Lonchura striata: one gene and its partner. The protein of the gene in region 1 interacts with the protein of each later gene in a biochemical or structural test. Links are inferred from orthologs where the notes say so. Each region holds a gene or a part of one and is shown on either strand. Other genes may lie near its edges.

The links.
Region 2: the proteins of SNTA1 (region 1) and solute carrier family 2, facilitated glucose transporter member 3 interact in a test that uses a peptide from one of them, tested with the Homo sapiens proteins (2 studies listed by BioGRID and IntAct). The link is inferred for Lonchura striata from reciprocal best matches to the Homo sapiens genes SNTA1 and SLC2A3.

What each region holds. Positions count from the first base shown.
Region 1 is NC_134619.1:12,416,269-12,425,655, forward strand, and holds the start of SNTA1 (alpha-1-syntrophin), read right to left. Parts: upstream 4,640-9,387; 5' UTR 4,603-4,639; coding exon 4,338-4,602; intron 2,078-4,337; coding exon 1,892-2,077; intron 1-1,891. UniProt on the Homo sapiens protein: Adapter protein that binds to and probably organizes the subcellular localization of a variety of membrane proteins. May link various receptors to the actin cytoskeleton and the extracellular matrix via the dystrophin glycoprotein complex.
Region 2 is NC_134604.1:31,302,589-31,312,456, reverse strand, and holds the start of solute carrier family 2, facilitated glucose transporter member 3, read right to left. Parts: upstream 4,337-9,868; 5' UTR 4,191-4,336; coding exon 4,176-4,190; intron 1,305-4,175; coding exon 1,209-1,304; intron 1-1,208. UniProt on the Homo sapiens protein: Facilitative glucose transporter. Can also mediate the uptake of various other monosaccharides across the cell membrane. Mediates the uptake of glucose, 2-deoxyglucose, galactose, mannose, xylose and fucose, and probably also dehydroascorbate.

The DNA of each region.
Region 1 (9,387 bases):
AGTATCTAAGTAATGTTAAGGTGCTCTTTTTTAAGCTCTTCCTTCTCCAAGCAGAAAAAGGCAGCAGGGACCACCCCAGTTTAACACCCTTCAGGCACTTTAAGGCCACCCCCTGCCTCTCAGCCCAGCCAGCTCCTGGAGAGCCACAGGGGTGGCAGGTACAAGGCAGGGTCACCACCTCCACAGGACAGTGACAGCCCTGCCACCCCCATGGCAGAGCTACACTGTGCCAGCAAACCCAAAATCAGGGAGGGGATGGAGATGTACCATGTTTATCAGTGACATCAGTGACCAGATGAGCAGCAGCGATCCCTTCCCTGCTCTGGCTGGACCCCAACAACATCAGATACAAACTCATCCCAGAGCTCCAGAGTGCTGTAGTGGGAGCCAGCCCAGCCCCAGTCTCCTCCTAAGGGTACCTCCTTGTTGTTTTAATTAATTAAGAAACCCAGCAGGTCATACTGAGCTCAGCAAGCTACAGCAAAGGCCCTGCCTGCAGCTGCCTCCCAGGAGGGAGACCTGGATCCCTAATATAATAAAAGATAATGGTGGGAGGGTGGTCTGAGAGCAGCGGCTCCAGGCAGGAATTTCACAAATTCACAAAGAAAGAAGCTCTTGTATTTTTCTTTGGTCAGAAAAGAACAACAAAACCATCCCACCACCAACCCTATCTGCTCCCAGCAGCTGTGCAGAGCAGCACATTCCTCCAGCTGAACCGTGGTCCTGAGGCTCCCAGGAGAGGAGGAACCCACAGTAGGAAGGGCTGAGCAAAGCTAAAAATTAAAATCTGGAGCTGAGACAATCTGGGGAAAGCAGAGGAAAGCCGGAGCCAGAGTGGTCGCTGGCAGCACAGCACACAGAACTGCTTTGTTCACGGACAGCCCCGAGCACTGCCCCCAAATCAAACCCCCCTTTGGGACCTGGGAAGGGTCTCTGGTGCCAAAACCCCCTGTAAACAGGGTGACCCCAGGGACTGTTGGAATGAGGGGAGGGGAAGGCTCCTTTCCCGAGGGACAGATCTGGGATGCTCATCACAGCCTGGCTGAGCTGGCAGAGGGTGGGCAAACATAGACAGATATGAGGTGAAGGGTAGCCAGAGAAGAATGGGGTCTCTCCCTCAGAACTCCCATGGTCCCAACCCAACAACCCCCACCCAGTCCTCAAGGAGGGCTTGAGGGGGCTCCTACAGTGTGCCAGCCCCCTCAGGACTTGGAGACACCAGGGATTATCTGCCTGGTACCAGATGGAGCCCATTCCCAGGGAACAGCCTGCTCCAGCATGGTGAAGGCTGCATCCCTGGGATGTTTGTAGCCTCAGCTTCCAGGGATCCCCTTGGTGGGTAGCATCCCCTGGATGGGTAGTTCCTGAGCAGGCCCTGCTGCACCCTCCACGTGCCCAAAACCCACCCAGCAAACCCCAAGGTGCTCAGCAGGAGTGGGGGACCAGTGCACCCTCTCTCTGCTGGCATAAACCTACACCAGCCAGAGATGTGGGTTTAAATTAAAACCAGGGGAAAAGCAGAAAATGTCTTCTCTTGCCCCAGGAACTGCAGACATGGGAGTGATGCTGTGCAATGAAAGAATCCCAAATTCCAGAAACTTGTCCCACACCTCCCACTGCTGCCTGCCTGAGGTCCCACAGTGGGGAGACAGAGCCTCTGGGCATGGAGTACTGGCACAGACATCCCTCCCTCTCCGTAAGGAGACAGGGAGATCCAGGGAGATCCCAGCAGTTACCTCCAGCTCTCCGGATGAGCAGACAAATTACTCTGCATATGTTGCTTTCCATTTGAAAGAGTATGCAAATGCAGCTGCAGATGATATGCCACCCCTGTGTCATCCCAGTACAAGAAGGAGAACCATTCTGCCCTCATCACATCTTTGTCTCCTACCTTCCAAGATCACTTCCTTGCCCGTCTTCTTCAAGGCCTGCACGGCCTCATCGTGGGTGGCCTCGGACAGGTCGGTGCCATTGACGGCGAGGATGGCATCCCCCACGTACAGCGCCTCGGTCTGGTCTGCTGCCAGCCCCTTAAAGATCTTGGAGATCAAGATGGGCATTTTATTCTCTCGGCCACCTTGAAACAGAAGAGACAGGGAGCGGTTGTGGCTGTAGGAGCGCTTGGAGGAGTGTGTGGGGAGAGGGATGCTGTGGTACCAGATGGTCTCAGCAAGGCTGAGCCTTTCTGCTGGCACTCAAAGCACCGTGCCAGGTCAGCCCACTGCCCACTCCCCCAGATACCCACAGGACACCTGTACCAACCACAGCAGCCAAAGTACCATGAGGCTTTACAGCTGATGAAGTGATTGCTCCAAAACCGCTCAGATTGGTCACGGATTATTCACAGAGTGAACACATAACCTGGCCATCTCCCCATCAGTTTTGGCAGGAAAGTGTATCGTTATTTGCATTATTAATCATGTATGCTGAGCAACTATCCTGGCTCTAAGGACTTTATGATCTCAACAGATAACACAGCTGAATGTTTTTGGAGAGGCCAAAGAGGCAGGGAGAGGTAAACCAATCTGGCTGCATGTTCCTGTCCACACAGCAGCCCTATTTGCCGGGTGCTCCCCACTGTCCTGACTAAAAGAATGTTATTCAAACTCCCGGCGGCTTCAGGAGATCAATTTGCACATCGACTTTTGAACCCGCAGGGAGATCCGAGCCGCCTCCGTGCCAGGGCACAGGGATGCAGCAGCCATTGCCCGTGGCAGCCGGGGATCAGCAGTGCCCGATGTGCCCCGCGCCCCGGGACAGCCTGTCCCGAGGAGTCTCCAAGAGATAATCCTCATCCCAGAGGGAGATGCTGAGCGCAGCCCGCTGTCACTGCCCGCCCCGGGCTGCTCCCAGCCGGTGCCACAGGCATTTCCTCGCTCAGCCGCCTGCCAAGCCAGTGAGGGCTCCGGTTATCAGCTGTCAGAGGCCCCGGCGGGGGCTGCTCCGTCCTTGCGCCAGCGGCTCCTCGCCCGGCTGCCAGTGCCGAGAGCCCTGCCAGAGCTAAGAGCCTCCGCCAGCCCGGCTCTCGCTCGGCTCCCCGCTGTCCTGACAGCCCCAAGCCACGTCCTGCGGCAGGACATTCAACCCCAGGTGGCACCCAGTGTCCCTGCATGAAGCACGGCTGGCACATGAACAGCGACATGCCAGCAGCTCGGTGAGGAGATTGTCCTGCCCTACCAAGGCTGCCCCGCCCTCCACAACTCCTTCCACTACCCATTTTTGATGGCAACTACATCTTTTCCACATACGTCACTGCAAAAGTAAAGTTTTAACTGAACCAAGGGAAGTTTCTCCTTTCCTGGAGGAGCCACAGAGCAAGCAATAACTTGGCAGCCATGGGGTGGTTACGAAAGGGGGTTTGTGCTTCCCAAAAAAAGGGCTGGCACGCTGGGGCACCCTGCAGACACGGCCAGCAGTGTCGATCCAGTTCCAGCAGCCGCACATTCACATTGCAAAACCTCCCCACTACCAGAGGGAGCCGGAGGCTGCGTCTGTGCCCCCTCTGAGCTGGGAGGAGAAGCCACGTCAGGAGGGGAGAGCTGTCCTGTCACTGCCCCGGGGCGGCCCGCTGCCTCTCACAGCCACGCTCCGTGACAGCCCTGTCCCTGTCTCCGCGCTGCCCTTTTCATCCTGCTTTCACAGTTTCCAACACGCTCGGAGCCCCGTGAAAATCAAAGGCAGGCAGAAAGGCAGGAACGGCACTGCCCTAAGAAGTTTCCAGCCTGAAGTTCAGGCGAGTCACCAAGGAGCGGAACAGCTCGGGAGGGAAAACAGACATAAAACAGAAAGGCTTCCCGGGAGCACATCTCCAAACTCGAGCGCGCTGGTTTAACACCCCACCCAGCGCCGGCAGATCTCCCGGGGCTTTACATCCCTCCCTTCGTTTTGCTGACAGCTTTAAAGGGGCATTTCCCAACTCAGGAACACGGTAGGACAAGGACACGCCGGCCCAGCCCTCCTTTTGGCTGCAAAAGAGAAACTTTCGCGTAACCCGGTGCCCCCAGCACCCCACCCGTGGGTGAAGGGGACAGCGGGTCTCCCACCGGCTCACAAACCCTGGGGTCCCTCACCCCGGTCGGGCACGGCGGGCAGGCACTGGCCGGTCACTCCGCACCCCAAATCATCGCTCTTTCCGTAGGCTGGGAATGGTTCGGTGCCGTCACTGCCACGTATCCCCTCCCCGTGCTAAGCTGGGGCTGGGGACGGTGAGGACCCCGACCCCAGCCCCGCTCCCCGCGGGGCTCGCTCCGAGCGAGCCGCGGGACCGCAGCAGCAACAGGTCCCGCTGCCGATGCCCTCTCCCCACGCCGCCCCGGGACCCCCGGGCCCGGCCTCACCTTTTATGCTGATGCCGAGCCCCCCCACGTCCTGCTTGACGACGCGCACGGTGCGCCTGATGTTGGCGAGCGCCTCGGGAGCGGCGGAGCCCGGCTCGCCGCCGTTCAGCTGCGCCGCCGGGGCCTCGGGGCCGGGCCCGGGGCCGTCTGCGGGGCTGACCCCCAGCACGTCCTCGGCCAGGGTGAGCAGGACGCGGAGCCACTGCCCGCTGGGGCCGCGCAGCTCCAGCAGCCCGGTGCGCGGGGCGCGCCTGCCCGCCGCCATCTTCGCGCGCTCCGCGTCCCACACCGCCCCGCGCCGCCCCTCACACCGCACCGCCCGCCCCGCGCCGCCCCTCACACAGCACCGCACTGCCCGTCCCACACCGCCCCTCGCACCGCCCCGCGCCGCCCCTCACACCGCTCCGCACCGCCCGTCCCACACCGCCCCACACACCGCACCGCCCGTCCCACATCGCCCCTCACACCGCCCCTCACACCGCACCACACCGCCCGTCCCACACCGCCCCTCACACCGCTCCGCACCGCCCGTCCCACACCGCCCCTCACACCGCCCCGCGCCGCCCCTCACACCGCACCGCCCGTCCCACACCGCCCCTCACACCGCCCCGCGCCGCCCCTCACACCGCACCGCCCGTCCCACACCGCCCCTCACACCGCCCCGCGCCGCCCCTCACACTACCCCGCGCCTTCCCACACCGCCCCTCACACCGCTCCGCACCGCCCGTCCCACACCGCCCCTCACACCGCACCGCACCGCCCGTCCCACACCGCCCCGCGCCGCCCCTCACACCGCACCGCCCGTCCCACACCGCCCCTCACACCGCCCCTCACACGGCACCGCTCGTCCCGCACCGCTCGTCCCACACCGCTCGTCCCACACCGTCCCGCACCGCCCCTCAACACCCCGCGCATCGCTCGTCCCACACCGCCCCTCACCGCCCTGCGCACCGCCCTGCACCGCCCGTCCCGCACCGCCTGATCCTCACCGCCCGTCCCTCACCGCCCCGCACCGCTCCACGCCGCCCCTCAGCGCCCCGCGCACCGCTTATCCCCCGTCCCACATCGCCCGCACCGCCCCTCACCTCCTATCCCGCACCGCTTCTCCACACCCTGCACAGTCTCTCCGCACCGCCCCTCAGCGCCCCGCACCGCTCCGTGCCCTGTCCCCTCCCGCCACACACCGCCCCGCAGGACCGGGACACAGCCCTGGGAGAGACCGGGACCGCGGCTCCGTCCCATTCCCTCCCGGGACGGGGCACCGGGATGCTCCCCAGTGCTCCCCGCACCAACCCGGGACGGGGCACCAGGAACAGACACAGCTCCGCGGTGCTCCCCATCATGGAATGGGGCACAGGGAAGAGCACAACTCCCCGGCGCTCCCCGCTCCATCTGGGATAGGCACCGGGAGGACACGATGTTCCCAGTGCTCCCCAGCACTGCCTTCTCCAGCCCGGATGGAGGGGCACCAGAGGGACACGGCGCTCCCCAGGGCTCCCCATGCCTGCCCACGAGGGACACAGCTCTCCTCTCCATCCTGGGATGGACACAGGGCTCCCCATTGTATCCTAGGACAGACACCTGGAGGGCCCAGTGCTCCTTAGCTCTTCCCATTCCAGCCTGGGATGGGGAGACCAGAAAGACACGACTCTGGCCTGGATGGAGCATGGGGAGAGGCCAGGACACCAGGGCCCCACTGGTCCATCCTGGGATGGGACTCTGGAAGAGCCTGGTTCTCCCCTCACCATCCTGGGATGGGGCACCAGCAGGGATACAGCTCCCCAGTGCTCCCCAGTGCTCCCCAGTGCTCCTTGTTCTGGCCTGACACAGGGCACCAGGAGGACCTGGCACTTCCCACTCCATCCTGGGACTGGCATGGGAAGGGACACAGGCTCCCAGCTGCTCATCCCAAAACTTGCCCCCACACTGGACATTTTGGGTGTCCCTGCGCTGGGCTGTCACAGGAGGAGCAGTGGGAGCTGGGCACAGAGCTGTGGCTCATCCCAGCGGCCACAGCCAGGGCAGGAACTTCCCTAGAGTCCCAATGGGTGTTAAACAGGAGCTGGGCAGGGGGACATGGTGTCTGCAGACATTCAGACAAGTCTGCATTGCTTTTTCCTTACTTGCCCTGGATCTTGAAAACGCGAGTATTTTTACATCCTTGGCAGACACTCATTCTTACTGTATTAATTAGGACTAGAAAATACCTCCAGGAGTAGCAAATCACTCTTGGCACATCCCCTCTGCCCCTTGCAGAGTGTTTCAAGCAGTGCCAGGAGCCTCTGGGACAGGACTACTGAGGTCTCAGCCCCTCTGGAAAGCACAAGGATTTGTAAGAATTCTGTAACATTTATGGCTGGCTGAGAAGTGGGTGGAGAGAAGCTCTGGGCACCTGAGGCAGGGGGGCTGCAGCATGTGCTGCTCAGCACAGCCCTTCCCAGCCAGGGGCTGCAGCCAGCCCTGAGCATCAGCCTCACACAGAGGAGAAAAATGCTCCCTGGGCTCCCTCCCACGCAGTAGCAGCTGTGGAATTTCTTGAGGTTGCAGCAGAGAAAACCCTGAAGGTTATTTCTTTACAAAACAGATGCTTTACATATTCCTGATTTTCTTTTCACTAAAATGTTCGGGGTTTAAGTGACACTTTGCCTTTGCAGTATGGTGATGCTCACTGTGGCAAGCACTTCTACATCACCCCAAGGATATTCCCCTCTGATCCCATCCCCTGTCCAGTGCCTCTCTCTTTGGGAACAGCAAGGGGACTTTGGTCTTTCGGTCCTCAAGTGGACACAGAGCTCATTCCCCCTGAGCTACATGCCTTGGGAGCACTCACTTTATTTTCCAGTCAGGCAGCTGCAATCAGCAGTTTGTCCAGCTTTTTTTTCATTCCCAAGAGCTGCTTTTGATAATTCCATCCTCTAAGGGCCCATTCCCATCTGAGCCAGCAGTGGGATCTCTGAACAGCTCTCAGTGCAGCAGAACAGCACCATTTGGGTTGTTCCCTTTCATTTCTCAACTCTGTGCCCCGAGGCAGGGATGCTGATAAGCATGGCCTGGATGCATGGAAGCCATCCAGATGGTTCCAGTGCCTTTCCCTGTGCTGCTGCTGGGATGGAGAAAGCACCATGGTCCTTGAATCCAGGTCACAGCACTCTGACTTCACCTCCTTTGGGGAAACAGCCTCACCCTGTGAGTGCAGCGAGGCCACTGCTCAGTGACCCCAGCAGAGAGCACATCCCCCAGCCACCACTTCTGCCTGGCTGTGGGACCCCCTGCTTCAGTAATTAATATTCCTGTGATACAGCAATTAATATTCCTATGACACAGCAATTAATATTCCTATGTCAACTTATGTGGGATAGACACCCCAGGCGAGTACTGCAGGTGGTGTCTTCTAATGGAAACAAGGAATTCAAAGTGCCCTTAAGACCCCAGTCCCAAACTGGGAGGTTCACCCTGAGCAGGGGGTCCATCAAATAGGGCTGACAGACTGGTGAAGTACTGGGGGCTTGGCTCCAGCACTGGGGGGCTTGGCTCAAGGTTTAATCAAAGACAGGAATCAATCACTTGCTGTCTCCTCTGCACACCTAGGCCTGGCAAGAGCTGTGGCCTGAGAAAGTGGACATGCCAGGATGTTCTTGGAGGTCTCTGTGCCCCCTAAGCAGAGATGTTGATGTTCTGGGGTTTTCCACAGGCTTGGCTCCTCCAGGCTTCCCCACTTCTTTTTAGGGGCTCCTTCAGGCTTCCTCACTTCTTTTTAGCCCTTTCCTGTCTCAGGGCACACGGTGAGCACTGGGAACCCAGCACACAGAGTGGTCCCAGCTCGATTTGACCCTCACAAGATACCATGAGCATAATTCCCATGCCGTGGAGCTGTAGGACAGAGGCTGGGATGACAGGGAGAAGTCTCTGGCCAGGGCTGGCATGCAGGAGTGAGCTGCAGCTTCCAGGAATGCCAGTGGCGTTCGTCAGGGCTCCTGTGAAAGCGAGCAGGCGGGGGAGGAATTGCTTGAAAAATTGCTATTCACAGAAATAGAAACTTCCCGCAGAAACACGCGTGCGTCGGTGACAAAAGCCCAGCTGGGAATTTCTCCTGGCAGCAGGAGCAGTGGGAGGGGAAGGGGCTGGGGAGTGCAGGAGGTTGAGGTGCAGGACTGGGGGTGCTGCCAGGGCCCTGACCTCAGCCCTGAGGGAAATTGCTGCTTTTTAGCTAGAAAAAACATCTCTTGACTCCATTATCCTCCAAACAGTCCCCAGGAGAAGGATCTGGCAGTGTGGCAGTGAAGGGCTCTGTGCCCCCCACCCTGAACCATCCCCTCCAGCAGAATTTCCTTCATGGCTGTTGGGATACTGCAGAGAGTGCAGAGGCCCTGGCACAGGTGCCCAGAGCAGCTGTGGCTGCCCCTGGATCCCTGGCAGTGTCCAGGGACAGACTGGGTGAGGCTTGGAGCAGCCTGGGACAGTGGAAGATGTCCCTGCCATGGCAGAGGGTGGGATGGGATGAGATTTAAGGTACCTTCCAACTCAGACAATGCTGGGATTCCACATTTGCCCAGCTGATTTTCATGGCAGGTTTAAGCCATCCTGGCATTGTCTCTGCCAATTCTCTCCAGCCCCCTGAACCCCACAGTTAAGCAGCTATTATTAGTCCCATTTCTTGGCATAGCCAGGAGCTGTGTCAAAGCCCACCAGTCTATTTATAGAGTGCTGTGAGCTGGTTTGTTATTTGTGTTAATTGAATTAATCCCTTCTGAAGAAAAGAGTTGAAGAGCTCACGTTCAGTCCCTGGGACAACATTCCCAAGCTGTGGGGATCCAGGCAGCATCTCAGGCTGCTCACAATCCTTAGCCTTCAGCACCAGGGAAGGGCTGCTGTGCTCAGTGTTCCTGAGAATTCATGGAAGGGGATGATACCAACCCTACCCTGCAGGACTGAGACTCATGAAACACTGCAAGGGACGGAAGGGAAATAGCTTTTATTATCTAGATAGATTTTAGGCTAGATATTAACAGATTTAGATATGCAATATGTACTTAACAGATGGATTCATCCG
Region 2 (9,868 bases), on another chromosome or scaffold:
ATCTTCCTTCTGCTTCCTGCTGCCATGAAAACACAGAGAGACCCAAAAAGGCAGCAACAAGTTCTTACTCAAGGGGAAGACAAGGGCACAGAAGGAGGAGCTTTCACTGAGAAGAAGCTCAGTATGAGGGAGAAAGCTTCACTGAGTGGAGGGGCAGGCAGGGTACCCACAGGACAGCAGTGTTTATTAAGGAAAACAGGCTTATCTTCTGAATATTTCAGATTGTGTGAGTCACAGGTGGTTCTTGGGAGGAGGCGGGAGACAGTTGGGAATGAAAGGGAACAAGCAAACATGACCAGTGAGTGGATGGGAACATTTCTGGCAATACCACAACACTGACAGCAGGGATAGAATTTCTGGTATAGAAATAGCTGGAGACACACAAGGCTTCATTGAAGTAAGCCTGAAAAATTGTTTCTATTTTACATAATGCCATCCCGGGGGATGTGACAGGGCCACGTTGCTGATTTCCCAGGCATCCTCTTAGCGAGTGAGGTAAATTGTGGCCTGGGCTGGTGGGTGGGGGGACAGAGTGCCTGCCCCCAGCAGATGGCAGCAGGACATTAACTAGGGAGGACTGACCCCATCCCCCATCCCGTCGTGAACATCTCTTCCCGGAGACAGGGTGGATGTGGTATTCGTGACTCAGTTCTTGACAGAGGAACCATCTTAAAGTTACATGAAAACTGCATCTCTCATTTTCTTCACCTCTTGTTTCTTAGGCTACAGTCATAGGATGATTTCGTCAAATGTCCAAGTCACAACCCTTTTTACAAGCACTGAATCTACGCTTAACACAAGGAACGAATAAACAAGTAAAATAAACTAAATTAGGGCAGCTGTAATTCCTACCAACCCTTCACTGTTTTCTGTACACTGCTCTCTACATTCTTTCTGCCATGGTTGGTTTATTCTGACTCAAAACCAAGGCAGCTCACATTCCTCCACACACCACATATAGTAGATGAAGCCCTCCTGCCCTTCCTGTGCTCCTAATTATGAGAATTAACCCATTTGCTCTCTCCCCTTCCCAGAACTTTGTCCTTCCTGTTCAATGCTGTATTTGGACGGCAGTTTTAAATGCCTTACTGATTTCATAAACCAAAACCAAATTACTGGGTGCTTGGGAGACAGTCCCTCTCCTTTATACATAATTTTCTTCCCATCAGCCCCTCGTCCGTCCCACCTCCCCAGCTCATTCCTCTCACCTTCTCAGGTGCATTAATGACACCAGTGTTGTACCCAAACTGGAGAGATCCAATGGCAGCAATGCAAACAGCATAGACAAGAGGCGCTGTGATTTTCTGTGGGAAGAGGGGGAACAATTATTTAGTTAATTCGGCTTTCTACACAACTTTAGCTTCTCTTCAGCATAAACAGCAGCTGAGCTCATAGGTGCCAAACGCAAGTGCTCTGAGGGCAGGGAATGGGCTTTTATCCAGCAAGTACCAGTTGCATCCCTTGGATCCCCCTCCCGGAAAGAGACATGCAACTGTACAGCAGGAAAAGTTCTGTGGCTACAAGTAGGAGGGCTTGTCAGGGCCTCCCCTTTATTATCTCCTGACCTTCAGCAACTATTCTCAGCTCATTAGTAATGAATACACTGCCTGCATTAGTGGCTGTTATTTTGGGTTGATCTGCTTTACAGAAGCTTTTGCTGATCTCTGGCATGTCATGAAAGAAGAGTCTAACTCTTCCCTGAGCCAGCTGACAAGTTCACATAAATTGAGACTCAGAGCTGCCCATGAGCTACACTGGCAGTCACTCACAACAGTTACAACACGCACTCCCTTCCGCAACAGGCTTGTTTTTCCCAGGCTAGGGCTTCCCAACCCTGCCCCAGGGCACTGGCACGGCAGCGTGCCTCAAGAGGTGGCAGCAGTTGCTAGCAAGCTCCCCGTCTATTTTTCTTTAATTTTTCTTTGAGCTGTGGCAATAGTTGCTATCTCAAATGAAGCACACTCCCCGAAGTTTCAGTAGACCTGAACCTCCATTACATTAAAATAAAAACGGCTGAGCCCTCAGAGCCATAGGGAAAGCTTAAAGGCCCAACCTCAGAAGTCCCACAGTCTGAGAAATTTAAGTGTCAGCAAAAATAATCTGACATTTTATTCATTTTTAAAGCTTGTGGCATTTAAGCCAGCTCCGAGTGAGGGAGGTGTGGGGGAGCAGGTGACTCAGGAGTTGGCACTTAGGCAGCCACTGCCTGAGTTGGCACAATTTGGAAAGATTGTGTTCCTTCCCATCTCAGGAGGTTTGGAAGCTTTTCCAAAAATATTAACAGTTCCTTTTCCAAGACTTTCCAATTATTGTACTTTAGGCCTGGCAGAGAAAACTACTAGGTGAGGCCTACTATCACAGCTCTTCCAGTCTCTCACTTTCTAGCTCCAGGAGTAGTGGCTCCCAAAAGTGCCCAAAGCTTTTGACCATAACCTTCTGTTGGTGCTCGTGCCACCTCTAACACGCTTTCAAGCCTGGCACGAATGTGCTTCTGACCTGAACAACCCTCAGACATGAGCAGTTCTGCCTCAATAAACAGAATTTGGGGGAAGGACTCTCAGGGATGGTTTCCTACACCGACCTACATCAAGTAAATGTCCTCCTGCCCAGGTCAGTGGTGGAGACAAAGTGGACAGGGGGCAGATGAGCACGGAGGTAGCATTCACACCTGAACACACCCTAGGCAGTGCAGCATTCTCCCTGGCACCCTGTGACCACTCCACTCATTTTTATCTCAAGGAAATTTGGCACAGAACCACAAGGACACAGCTCTTTCAAAGCATCTGGATGCATATAGAAATGCATTATAACATCTAAGCAGTTTTGGGACTCCAGGCCAGGTCATCTCTAGCCAGCAGGTATGGCAAGGCTGCAGACAAACCCCAGCTCTCCACATGGCTCACACAGGAGCACTTTTCCCCCAGGACTGTGCTTTGTCATGGCTTGCAGTGACCACAGCTGGCCTTTTACTTCTGGGTGCTGCAGGGACCATAAGGTCCCTGCTTTGTGGGCACCCCTCACTTACATGGTACATAAATGAGCTACTGGGCGAGTTGCTCTACCCAGTTTCATACTTCCTTCTCCTGGCTGTTGCCTGCTATTTGCCTCCTGCCCAGCCTCCCATCACATGCCATGACCCATCTCCTCCAGTGAGCCAAACTGTGATCTAATGTATGGATCATTTGTTAGTGCTGCAAGTGCCTCGCTTCCCAAAAGGCAAACAGGGAGCTCAAAAATAGTACAGCTACACCCACTCTATCCAAAGGCTCAAGGCTGAGGTCTGTACAGCAGCACGGCATTCAAACCGCTATCCCTCCCTCCGACCACAGGCGTCGGCAGCATTCATTTTCAGGAGATGCTCCTCACCAGCTCCCCTCCTTCACTGCCTCCATCCCCAGAGCGGTACAACTTGTTGAGCCCGGCAGGAGTGGCCTCGCCCGCTTCTCTGAACGACCTTGACCAGACGCTCTCCTTTCCTCTGCCTCATCCTCTGACACTGCCCCCACATCCCACCAACATGGCGATGAGAGGCCCGGCCTTCTCCAGTTCTGGCTGTTCCCGTGTAATTCCCCGGCATCCCGCCCCAGGTCCAAGGCTGGTCACCCTTAGTACGTTCAAATACACGCCATCATGAGCTCACTCCACTGCTGCACACGAGCAGACACCGACAAATATCCCCTGCTCTCCATCTGAGGAGGGGAAGGACATGCTCTGCCACTTTCTTGAGATTTAAAAATGCCTTTATAAGTTATATTGCCACCCACGAAAAAAAAAGTCTTTAACATCAGTCCCCCGCTCAGCATCCCAACCTGGGACCAACCGAGTGCGGCGCCGCCAGCGAAACAAACCTCGTGATCAATATCCTACAACGCGGACAGCATCATGTGCATCATCAGGCCACGCGCACGAAACCAAAATCGATCGCGCGACCTGCGACAATCTTTCCCAAACGGCACGGTCCCCCTCCCCCCACCCCAGACAGAACTGCCAAAGGCCGACCAGCGGTCCTGCCGGGACCACCACCGCATCCATCCCCACGGCGAGCCGCAGGCGACCGCCGGCCGCGACCGCATCCCTCCCCCCAGCCCTCCGCCGAAGCGCCCGCGGAGCCGAGCCCCGAGCGGCGGCCGCAGCGGGGGGAAAGGGCGAGAAGGAGCCCGCGTTCGCCGCCCTACCTTCTTGGTGTCCATGGCCGGAGGCTGCCGGTGCCCGACTGCCGGCGAACGCCCACCCGCCGCACCTAACGGAACCCGCGAGAGGCGCCGCCCACGCCCGGGAGTGCCGCGAGCCCGCCCCGTGCCCGCCTCCGCTTTATACGCTCCGCCGGGGGAGGGGAGGCGGCGGGGCGTCGCCCTGCCCGAAGCACGGCGCTCGCCGCGCTCCCCCGCCGCTCACGCCCCCCGTGACGGCGCTCTGCGTGCGGGGCTGCCGGGCGGTGATGGAGCGGCCCGGGCGGGGACAGCGGGGTGGCCGAGGGGCGGTGGCCCCGCTTCCCCCCGCCGCGGGCACCGCGCAAGGACCCGCCGCGCCGCGGATGCCACGCGCGAAGCGCTGGCTAGTGGCGCAATCCGTGTTTTGGGCTGTTTGCAGCGACAGCGTGACGTAAAACCACGTCTTTATTTATTATTTGATGTATATAAAAATAAATGTCTTTATTATTGGGTGTGTAAGCTACAGCAGCACGGCGGGCAGTGACGGTGCAGAGGCAGGCACGCAAACAGCACGGGCAGTAGCCTGAAGGCGAATGCCGTGCGCTGCGGGTGCTCCCACCGCCTCGCAAAGCTGTGGATGAAGTAGAGTTCTGGGCAGTTGCGTTTCGGGGATTTTTTTGTTTGTGTGGTTGCCAAAAATATATTTTTCATACGATGCTAGAATCTGCGGGGGCAAAGCTGAATTTGGATCTAGTCCCAGACTTAAAACCCTTCCTTACAAGGGCATGTAGTGACAGGACACGGGGGAATGGCTTCAAAATAACAGAGGGCAGGTTTAGATTAGGTAATAGGAAGAAACTCTTTACTGTGAAGGTAGTCCGACACTGACAGAGATTGTCCAGAAAAATTGGGGATGCCCCATCCCCGGAAGCCCATAAGGCCAGGTTGGATGTGGCTTTGAGAAAAAAAGTAGAAAGTGTCATTGCCCATGGTAGGGAGAAAGAAGAAAATTATTTTTAAGGTCCTCTCCAACTTAAATCGTTTATGAGTCTATAATTCAATCAAACGCTACCGTGCTCCACATTTACTATCCATCCTTCAGGTCAAACGCTTGCCAAACTCTTCCAAGAGAATGATGAAGAGCTGTGCTTTGAATCAAACAAAAGTGCTGCCAAACAACAAAAGTCTTCACTGAATTAAGAATCTGTCAAGGACTTTGACTTCAGAAAACACGCAGCTGGGGGCAAGGACAGTGAGGGAAAAAAAGCTGACTTACCCTGTTTTTTATTGTTAGGCAAAATACCTTGAGACCAGACACCACTTTTGCCATCAAATTCTGGGGAACTGGAACAATCACATTTTAAATTCGATTCTGCTGTTTATTTGGTGTCGTCACCTGGCCACACTAACTGGAAATTAACAGGGCAAAGCTTTCCTTCACTCACTTTCAGAAATACCCGTTTATTTTACGGCATTCATGAGAGTGAGTGATAAATGCCGTCACGAGGTGTTTATATGTCATATTTATTTGATAAATATCTAATGGGTATTCCGTGTATTGTTGTTAAAATATTATTGCCAGCAGAAAAAGAGTATAAGGGCACGGGATGCCTGCACAGTCCCCCTTCTTCGGCTGTGTGACAAAAACGCCTCTTCACACCCACAGGGGAGCACGGAGGGACAATGGCAGAAGGAGGGCCCCAACTAACACTCCGCCCCAGCTACTCCCCGGCCCCTCACAAGAGCCATTAGCACATCAAAGGTTCCATTTTCATACACCCGGAGGTAAACAGGAACACAATTGCCAGGTGACAACCCGGATTAAGGACACCCCGCCTGGGCCAGCAGCTCTGGAGAGTCATCAACCCAGGTGTGAAATTCATCACAAAGCCAAAGCTGGAGCACCTTTCAAACTGTGAAAGAGGAGGTGCTGTGTTCAGGGGAACAGACACCTTACAGGATGCACGGGAAGAGCATTTGGGGCTTGTAGGAGACTTACAATGGGATGCTTAGGGGAGGAAACAAAGAGGGGAAAGGAAGAGATATGGGGAAGAAGGGACACTTACTTGCATGAAAATTCTTGGCTGACCAGCAAAAGTGTCCAGCCTTGTCCTGCACTTGGTTAGCACAATTTGCCCTATCTCGTTGTTAAATCCTATTTTTAGCTGTGAGGTGCTCTCTATAGGGGTGAGTACCACTGGTGTCTGCTTGTCTCTAAGGGTGAGGCCATGCCAGGTTGGCTCCTGGGGGGACCAGGAGTGTCTTGGCCATCCGTGCACACACCTCTGTGTGTGTGTGTGCCAGCAACGGGAGCGGAGCTGCAGCCTTGTGCCAGCATCAGCGAGACTGATGTCTGTGGCCCAGCTCCTTGGAAGGATCCACCTTATCATATTTATATGTTTATTCCCACTGCCGGAGCTCCCTCCTCCTCCTGAGAGGTCACTGGTGCTGTTTGTGTAACTGCACCGTGTGGGTTTATGCACGTGCCTCCAGGGAATACAGGGTCATTCTTGCTACTGGGAGCAAGGAGCGGTGTCAGCCTCACCTCTGTCCAGCCTAATTCCCTAACACTTTGTTCGAGTAATTCTGGCTCGAATTTTTCTTTTTCCTAGCTTATTTTCCATTTGTTTGCAAGCATAGCAAGCTCCACGTTGAATCTGATTACACAGCTGTCCCAAACTCTGGCATTAGCTCTGGAAATATTCATTTACTTGTTAGCGTGAGAAGGTGCCATATTTGTGAAAGCTTTAAGCATATTCACATTTCAGAGACAATCTTTGGACCGCATTCCTCTGAAATGTCCTTATTCGTTGTTTATTCTTAACACACATAAGTCTGTTGCAAATGCTGAGCAATCCAAACTACAAGATTAGATTAAATACATACATAGCTACCGGTCCAGTTTAGAAGCAATAAACGTATAGCTGAAAATTAAATCTCACATAAACACATAATGCAGAACATCATGGGTAGCACGTCTTTATTTAACCAGAGCTGGAGAAGTAATAAGAAAGACTGTTTCTTTCTCAAGCTCAAAATGCATCACTGAAACCCCACTTTCCATAAGGAATGTGCAGGAAAATACCCATTTCAGTGAGTTCTGCCCCTGTGTGCTGATGCTCAAATATTTAGATTTGAAGTTTGCATCACACCCTGTGCCTCCTAAATACCAGTTTTGTTTCTGTCCCAGGACACACACCTACCTCCCACATCACGGCTAATTCTGAAGATCAGCTGCTGGAGGAAGTACCTTAATACCTCCTTAGCAGAGCTATCTGATAGTGCACCAAAGCTATCCATCCAGTCTATTTGTGAATATAATAATCGTGTATTATGCAAAATGCAGTAATTGTGCTAGGATGAAGGCCCATGGCATGTGGGCAGCCAGACTTAAGGTTGCTAGGGGAAGGGCCAGGCAGAACGGATCCCAAGCTGAACTGATGCGGACTGCCCCACATTAAACACTGGTATCCTAACCACAGAGCTGTGGGGATTGGGAAAGGCTTGTCTTTTGCTTAACAGGCTTTTTTCTTTTTAGCTTTGAGAACGCTTGCATGTCTTAACTAGTGCATGCCAACTAGCATTTCACTTCCAGGGAGCTTACATTTTCTGAGGAAAGCTGGTTTAATCAGAGAATTTCTATCTAACATTAAGCAAGAGCTCCAACGATGAGCAAGCCTGTTCTTATTTTAATTTATCTCAGGGACTGGAGCTGGCATGTGACCCCCATAGAAGCACCCTGCTGTGGCTTTTTGAGAACCTCAGTGGAGGTCTAGCAGGTACAGTTCTTTGGCAAACACATTCACACATTCCATATACACAAGGCCTTGGCTCAAGGCACAGATGAGGAGAAGGTGCCAAAAATTAAGTCCTTAAAAAAAAAAATCCCTAGCATTTTTGGTCCTGTCTATGCCTCTACAACCTAATGGGAGCACAGACTGATTCACTGGGATTGATCAACCACAGGATCATCACACTGCTGTCCAAACTTCTGGCAAGCTATATTTCACCTACTTTATTGAATCTGCCCAAGTTGCAGTTCAGTGGTGCTGCCCTATATGATGAGGCTCTTTCCAGTCTCTTTTGCCTCCAAATTTGGCGACTCCTATCTCGTGTTTCTTCTTATTTTGCCTGGAGAACAAATTCTTCAGAGATAAGAGGAGCGGGGACAAGGAGGATTATTATGCAGTGTTTGCCTTGAGAGCTGATTTTGTGCTTTACTGTTTGTTGTGTTTACAACAAAAGAACATTCAGAACAAAGAAGAGAGAATGAGAGCCAGCATGGGCCAGATGCTTCCCCCTCAAGCCATGAGTAACTTTTATTGTTGAGAGGAGGTTAGGAGGAGGGGGGGAAGAAAAGGAGGAAAGATGAAAGAGAGAAACAAGATGATGGGTGGGATGTAGGTCGGCCTGTAAACAACAGGAGGTTAAGCGAGTGAGAAAAGAACCAATGGAGAGACAGAAGCCAAAAACAAAAGGGCATAATGACGTGAAGAAAGAAAATACTAAAGCAGATTAGAAGGGCAAAGCAGAAGAATAGAAGAGAAAAGGAAGGAAAAGACAGCAGCAAAATATCAGAGGGAAAAGGATAACTTTTGAATAGTCAGAAAAGATGAACAGAGAGGTACAGGAGGAAGCTACAAAATCACCCAGCTGAAAAAGCACAGACATAGCACTGGAGAGACCACAGCAGTAAACCCAAGGCACCTTTAAATTCTGCCCTCAACCACGGTGCAGTGTAGGCTGAAGCTACTGTCTGAAAACTTTGGTCATTAAGCTGGCTGGTTAATTTGATGTGAGCTAAAGTTAAAAGTTTTAATACTCTCACCGTTGCTTTCAAAAGGGGAAGTATCTGTTGTAAAAAAAAAAAAAAAAAAAAAAAAAAAAAAAAAAAAAAAAGAAAAATCAGCGGAATGAATAGTTCTGCAGAAATGCACATGCTGGAGAGGAAACCAGCATCCCCTTGAAAATTTTATCCTGCTGTATGTGAAAGATACGACAACCCCCTGGAAGTCCTCTAAGGTTTCCTAGTCCCATTTCCTGTAACACTTCATGCCTTGTCCTTTTCTTTTCTTCTGACTAGAAAAAGACTCCTGGCCTGCATCTACGCCACAGGTCTGCTTTTTTTCTCATTGATTTTGCCTCGTGAAACCAGGCTTTCTAGCAGAAAGGAGCAATATACCTGTACATTTGCCTTCCCTTGCACTATTTATTTATCTGATTTTATTCTAACACTGGTTTGTATCTCAGAATAGCAATAATTAAATATGTGCATGTGACTCACAGAGAATGTTCTAAGTACACTCTTTTTTTTTTATTATTTTATTTTTACCACAAGCAAATGTCCTTCTTATGATCTCTCTCTCTGGTTTTGCCTCCTTTCTTCTGGAATGTACAGGTGAACTACAACTGAAACTGCCCCAAAGCCCATGTCCCAGTCATAAACTGGGATGCTGCAGCATCTGGGATGGAGGAGACAGCAGCAGAGCTGTGATGGGAGCTCAGGAGTGACTTATTCAGGAGGTTGCAGGGCTGCAAGATGTGGTTTGGGTTTTTTCTGTATCAGTCACTGTATCACACTGTGTTTTTTTCCACAGAAAGAAACTAAACTAAACTTTCTCCTGAGCAAGGAACTAAATTTGAAGGGCAATGTAAGAAACCAACCTGACTAATGAAGTTCAATTAAAGCCCATCAGCATAAGCAGAGAAAAAAAATT